Linked DNA regions of Xenopus tropicalis. The protein of the gene in region 2 binds, or shares a complex with, the protein of the main gene of each other region. Links are inferred from orthologs where the notes say so. Each region holds a gene or a part of one and is shown on either strand. Other genes may lie near its edges.

Region 1 (2,597 bases), on a different chromosome or scaffold from region 2:
GTGAGCCACATTCAAATGGAAAAAGTGTAGGTGAGCAACACAAGCATGGAAGAGGTTCCTGGGGGTGCAAATAAGAGCTATAATTGGCTATTTATTAGCCCCTATGTGGACTGGTAGCCTATAGAAGGCTCCATTTGGCTTTTCACTGGGTTTTATGCAACCAAAACTTTCCTCCAAGCCAGAAATTCAAAAATAAGCTTTGAGGCCACTGGGAGCAATATCCAAGGGGTTGGTGAGCAACATGTCACTCACAGACCACTGGTTGGGGATCACTGCTTTAAAGCATAACATTTAACACAGGAAGACCGCACCACTTCTGTAGTTTATATCTTTCTTGTATTTTCTATTTCTTTTCCACTCATCTTTACTTTCCTCTATCATTACCTAGTCCTACCCCTACCCTCCCTCATTCCTTTCTATTCCTCAACATATACGATAGCCTCTTTCTAAGGTATCTATATTAGAAATAGATAAGATGTAAAGAATGTGGAAACAAAATTGTCTGAATGTAAAAGGCTATAAATGTATAATGTGAAGCTTTACTATCTTTTTGAAAATAAACGGATTTAATACAAAAAAAAAAACAAAAAAACATTTAACACAGAAAAGTAAAAAAAAAAACAAAAAAAAAAAAACTACAATTGGCCAAGCACAAGAAAACCACAAGAAAAGAAGCTTTTTTTCCACCACCAACATTTATTTGTTAAAGAAGACTGTAAATCAGTACAAATATACACATAGATGCGAAACCAACATTTACACATAAAGAAGAGAGTGTGTGCTTAGGATGATTTGAGGTATACAATAAAAAAAATAAAACTATGAATGAAAAGAATTTACAGAAACAGTGAAAGTCAATAATGAGAATGAAATAAAGTCTTCTGTGCATTAGATCATAGTGGTATTAAAAGTCTAAAACATATATATTAATATATATAATCATATATATTAATATATAAATATATATAAGTATACATATATAAAAACTCCAGCGGTATGCCAAAAAGAAACATTTATATAGAGAATATATATATCTTTCTTGTGTAATATCGGATTACAGGAAAGAAAATAGTCCGCTATGGCTGTTACACCATGCAATACTGCTCTTTCATTAAAAGTATAATAGAGATATTTCTCTTGGTCGTGATTGTTTAAAGCAATGTGCTACATACAAGGAAGGTGGCCTAAAGCGCATGAAAATAAAACCACAGCCAGTCCAGTTCTTTAGGAAATAGCAGCTAAATCTTATATACAATTAATGACAACTGAACTTTCCAGCTTCGTTTAACCTTTGGCAAGATTACTTACAAACTTATGAATTAACCCACGCTATTTAAAATATTTGTAATGCATAAAAATAAAGATTTTGGCTTGAGCCCTTTGCTGCCAGAGCGGGCTGCAATGCAATACTCAACAGTGTGCTCCAGCCCCCTTTGGCATAAAAGGCAGTTAAACATTTCCCCCCCACCCCCCTTTCAGTCTCCATACATATTTACACATATCTTTCAATATGGAAGCTCAGGCACTGCAGTGGTTCTGCAGAGAGTCATATCTCCAGTGGGCGGCCAGTTTTACTCCCGCCTTGCCATGACCACTGTCCAGGTTCGTCTCTGATTTTCTGTGCCAACGCAGGGTAGATGAGATCTGTGGGGATGGATATTCTTAATATTCCCACAGACCTCCATTGCAGTTACTGTCCAATGGAATTTTCATGCCCCCCCTCTTGGTCCTTTTATGTGTAATTCTAAAGAGATGGATTTGCAAGAAGAGATTTGGAATCCTTAAAACACTGCTACTCCTCACAGAGACTGTTTGCTTGTTCAGTCCAACTCTATAGTTCAATTTCAAAAGTCTTTTGAAGGTCACTAGAGAAAGGATTTGTAGGAGATGGGTTTGCACGTGGTCTAGATTTGCCTTCAAGAGCTGCCCATTGAGCTTCAAATGGGTCTACAGGAGGAGGGGCAGCTGGAGCTTGCTGGCTCTTAGCGCCCAATTCCCACCCACTACTTTCAACCCCATTAAAAGCAACAGAGCCATTCTGTTGCTGGGCAGGAGGCTTATAGAATGGACTGCTGGATGCACTGGATGCTTCATAAGTTGGATAGGTTTGCTGTGTGGCTAAATTTGGAGATGGCTTAGGCTGGAATACCTGTGGACTTGCAACTCCGAAAACATTAGCTACCATTTGAGAAGGGGTTATGCCAACAACTGGAACACTGGAAGCTGGGTAGCTCATTCCATTGGCTACAGAGTATGGTGGCTGCACAGGCATGAAGGGAGGGTGCAGACCTGGGACAACAGAGACAGGCATAGACTGTGAGGTCACATAAGCATTGGCCAGGTAAGGCTGGTTAGGCTGTGGTGCGGCAAGGGCAGGTTGTACCATAGGCTGAGTTGGGACTGCAGGAACTGGAGACTGTCTTTGCATGATTGTTTTGGATACTTCTTCAAGCCAACGGTCTGCCTCAGAGGGTGTTCGTTTGTGGTTTGACTGGTGAGTACCAGATGAAGGGACAGGACCTAAGAAAAAATAGTTAAAACAGTGAGTATACATATGAAAGGAGTTCAAGTTGTAACCTCAACCCTTTTATAGGGCA
Region 2 (4,387 bases):
CACAAGTTTAGTCAGTCTGTTTGTGACAGAAAGCACATCACTAAGCCCAGAGTATGACCGATGACATCAATAAGCACTGTTTATAAGGATATCATTTTTAGGGTATTCATGACTCTTGTGTATTATTCATGATTCTTGTGCATTATGTTTTTCCTTAAGCAGCCTTCTTTCTGTCTTTAGGTACTGTATTCTTACAGCTGCCTTACTCAAAGCGGAAAGGACAGCAGAGACGTAGGAGGAATTCGACCAGCTCTTCTACTCAGAACCTTTTTGGAGAAGAACGCATAGGGTATAATTGGGCCTACAATACCATGCTGACTAAAACGTGGCGCTCCATTGGTACAGGAGATGAGAGGTTTGCTGACCGACTGCTTAAAGACTTTACTGACTTCTGTGCCAACAGAGATAACAGGTTAGGCACATTCTGGGCAAACTGCTTGGAGAAAATGAACACAAGTGCGCCTTAGATATGCCTGCAGTATCTACGCTGAACAGGAGGATTGCAAGGAGATTGCAACCAAAGTCAAGACAACAGTGTCTATGGTGCATAGACAGTCTCTCCTCCAAGAGGAGCATACTCTGTGCCTTTTCCATTCGTTGCTAACGTGTGTAGAAGTAGTTCTTGCGTTGACCAACCTAAGTTGTAAAATATCATATTCACTATGATAGTGGTTCAAGCTTATTGGACATTCTTTACAAAGACCAGTTCACTTAGGATTGTCTTGAAAATGTAAAGCGTAAAAGCAGTGTTGCACTTTAAAAATAGCTGACACTGGATTATGGCTCATGAAAGGGCAGTGCTGAAGCTGTGCCCTGGCTAAATCCTTGTAGTTTCCCCACAGAGTAGTGCTGGTCGATTTGTATATATACTGGTCTCTCTCCATGTTAATGGGAGAATAACTTATGTTCTCAGTTAACCATGAAGGCTGTGCCTCTGCCCTTGGGGGCCTTGGCTTAAAGTGAAGGATACATGCCATACTGATGCAGTTGCACAGTGCCCAGACAGCAGGCTGCCAAACAGATCAGTGGCTGCTTCTAGAGAAGTGTTTGGCATGCTATGATGTAACATCTATACAGGTACATTGCTGCTTCTGAAACAAAATGTATAGCAGATTTACCAGCTCTGCATAAAGCTTATGGCAGGTGTGGAAATTCATCACACAGTGCTTGAAGAGAAACTGTTGCCATAGGCCCGTATGCTTAGGGACGGGATTTGGAGGTATTTTATGGCAATAACCTTGGAAGTGCGCATTGTTATTCCAGAAAGCTGACAAGAATGTACCTGAGATTCCTTGTGTGAAATACTGATGTAGAACGCTGCATAATAAAGCTGGGCTTTGTAACGGGACTGAAGTTTGTGCGTTACTAAAGAGGGAAGGGGCGCTGTCCTATAAGGACTTGCATTCAGTGACAGCAGCAATTTGTAGCGCTCTCCATTCCCAGCCCCCTCCTACCCCAGGGCCCCCACTTCTTGCAGTGCAATGCAGCACTTCCACTACGCATGCTCTTAGTAGTCTCTATAAATAGATCATGACGTCACCTAGAAATGTTCCGTAAGGCTCCGCCTTTGCCCCGCCCCTCGGTAGTGCGTCCTGGGCTGAAGTGCTGCTAGTAGCAGAACCTGGTCCAGCGCGCTGACAGTGTTCGGGAGCTAGGGTGGTACTGGTACCGGATCCACAGCACAGACCGGCGTCTGATCTAGCCCGCCTGCTGAAAGGATGGCTGATCGGGAGCAGCTGCTGCAGAGAGCCCGCTTAGCGGAGCAGGCGGAAAGATATGAGGACATGGCGGCAGCAATGAAATCGGTAAGTATGTCTTTATAGCCTATATGTGTATATCCTTGTACTAAACAATTAGTATGCCTGTGCAATGAATGGATTTGCCATAGAAACTGCACCTATACACATGAATATCTGTATTTATTGCAATATATGTGCATTGGTAAGCGGATCTGCATGTAGTATGTGGGCGGGGTGGGGCAGCAGTGTATGGGTGCCGGAGAGTGCACCATTGGCACATGCAGCCTTTCTGCTCACAGTAACAGAGGCAACTTCTACCAGTGACACTGTACCACCACTAGCTGGTTCATTCTGTCGCATTTCATTTTTAATTATGACCTAATGGCAGCTTAATCACAGATTAAAACTGGGTGTGATCTCCGTTAGTGAATCACACCTTGGGGTGTATAGAAGTGAGGCACAGATTACAGATCCACAAACAGTGCATTGTATGTGACCAAGAACACAAAGTAGTAGCCACGAAGGCCACTGAGGTCTCCTGTGTATTGCAGGCTACAGCTCCCCATAGAGATTATTATCACTTTCTGATATTATGTGGGCATGTGTTCTGATTGGCATCTTATCCCTGTTTTCTGTAGGTCACAGAACTGAACGAGCCTTTGTCTAACGAGGATCGGAACTTGCTGTCTGTAGCCTACAAAAACGTGGTCGGGGCACGCCGCTCCTCATGGCGTGTGATAAGCAGCATTGAGCAGAAGACACTAGCAGATGGCAATGAAAAGAAACTGGAAAAGGTGAAAGCCTACCGAGAGAAGATCGAGGCAGAGCTGGAGGCGGTATGTAGTGAAGTGCTGTCACTTCTAGACAAGTTTCTCATCAAGAACTGCAACGACTTCCAGTACGAGAGCAAAGTATTCTATCTAAAGATGAAGGGCGATTACTATCGCTACCTGTCAGAGGTGGGCTCAGGAGAGAGAAAGCGAAGTGTGACCGAAGCATCCGAAGCCGCGTACAAGGAGGCCTTTGAAATCAGCAAAGAACACATGCAGCCGACCCACCCCATCCGACTGGGCCTGGCCCTTAACTTCTCTGTCTTCTATTATGAGATACAGGGTAACCCCGAGCAGGCTTGTCTCCTTGCCAAGCAGGCCTTCGATGATGCCATTGCTGAGCTAGATACGCTAAATGAAGATTCCTATAAGGACTCCACCCTCATTATGCAGCTGCTGCGTGACAACCTGACCCTGTGGACAAGTGACCAGCAAGATGAAGAGACTGGAGAAGGGAACAACTAAAGAGGGCCCTGCGTTTTGCTGCTGCCCATTAATGACCCGCTCCCCAACACCACTTGCCACCCACACTTCCAACCCTTAACCCCAAACATGTCCTGTGCTTATCATATCCGTATCATTGGCACAACTGCTCATACTGCTGCCTGCCTGGGGAGAACGGGTTCTTGCGGAGTCCTCTTGGGCATTGCTGGATTGCGTTGGCACATCAGCTGTTTCTTAGGTTTCCCTCGCCTTGAGCGGGGTTGAAGAGAAGCTGCGGTTTAAGAAAGGCGCCCAAACTCTCCTAGTTGATAGGGCAAGTACGGGCTGGAATGAAGCAAAGTGGTCCTGTTTTATTCCGTTAAGATACTCTGGTTTAGTTTTAATTTGTGCAGCATTCCTTGTGCATGTAATATTGCCCTGGTCCCCTTCTGGTGAGGTGCCGCCACAGCTAAGACTGTGATTGGCCAGTGCTCAGAGGGATAGGGAGCCACATCCTTTTTTTTTTTTTTTTTTTTAGCTTACAATAGACGTTTTACATGTGAGCTTTGTGAGGTTTCTCAGTGCCCTTTTAACTTATGGCGTGTTTATAATTCTGCATCTCCTGTGGGTTTGGATGCTCTTTTTTTCATTTTGTTTTATTTTATTTTTTTATTATTTTTCTGCTACTTTTGAGGGCCTCATTATTTGATTGTTAGTTGTGTGCTGGTCAGTCCTTGTATGGTCTGGCTACACCTGCACAGTGTGTACTCGCCTGTTACAATGGATGCTGATATAATGCCAGACACCCAATTTAAATGTCTTGGGATTACTTGGATGAAATAAATGCTGCTTTGAGGATATAAAATCTACACTGGCCTCTTGTGTCTTTCCTAGATTGGGCTTGACATGGATACCTAGCCCTCAGTATCCATATGTAATCCACATTATACCACATCTGGAAGCTAGTTGCTAGGATCAGCCGAGGGTGATAGGGAAAAAGGGTGGGGTTAGGGTTTTAGGCAAAATCACAATTGATTTGATAGTGACAGATGTTTATCATTACCATGAATCATTCATTTTAACTGTATCTTGCTTTTGTCACATGAAACACACATGGATCATGGAAAATCATGAACTTTATATGTATGTGGGAAATATACACCAGTACCAGTAGGCTGCTTAGGGTGCTAGTTATTCAGACACAAGGTTACCTGCGTGATCGACTTGCAGTTTAGTTAGGATGCATGCCTTTAGTTCTACTATGAAATAAAGCCGCACACCCTGAGGCTGCACACACCAATATTCCTTTTTTTTTTAACTATTATTTTAAGATGAGTATTGTTACAGGCTAGTCCCTATTATTTTTGTGGTGCACAACACAAGCACTGATCTAAT

What was found.
Region 1: the proteins of ywhah (region 2) and numb are in contact, whole or in part, in a crystal structure (PDB 5YQG), measured with the Mus musculus proteins. The link is inferred for Xenopus tropicalis from reciprocal best matches to the Homo sapiens genes YWHAH and NUMB. Residues at the interface, in NP_035868.1 of Mus musculus: Arg57, Arg132, Tyr133, Leu177, Asn178, Val181, Glu185, Ile222, Leu225, Asn229; in NP_001129547.1 of Mus musculus: Gln274, Gly275, Ser276, Phe277.

Annotation. Positions count from the first base shown.
Region 1 is NC_030684.2:106,105,667-106,108,263, reverse strand, and holds the end of numb (protein numb homolog), read right to left. Parts: intron 2,521-2,597; coding exon 1,832-2,520; 3' UTR 677-1,831; downstream 1-676. UniProt on the Homo sapiens protein: Regulates clathrin-mediated receptor endocytosis. Plays a role in the process of neurogenesis.
Region 2 is NC_030677.2:152,232,712-152,237,098, forward strand, and holds ywhah (14-3-3 protein eta), read left to right. Parts: upstream 1-1,586; 5' UTR 1,587-1,718; coding exon 1,719-1,805; intron 1,806-2,377; coding exon 2,378-3,034; 3' UTR 3,035-3,852; downstream 3,853-4,387. Other genes in the region: GATOR complex protein DEPDC5, read left to right, coding at 181-467. UniProt on the Homo sapiens protein: Adapter protein implicated in the regulation of a large spectrum of both general and specialized signaling pathways. Binds to a large number of partners, usually by recognition of a phosphoserine or phosphothreonine motif.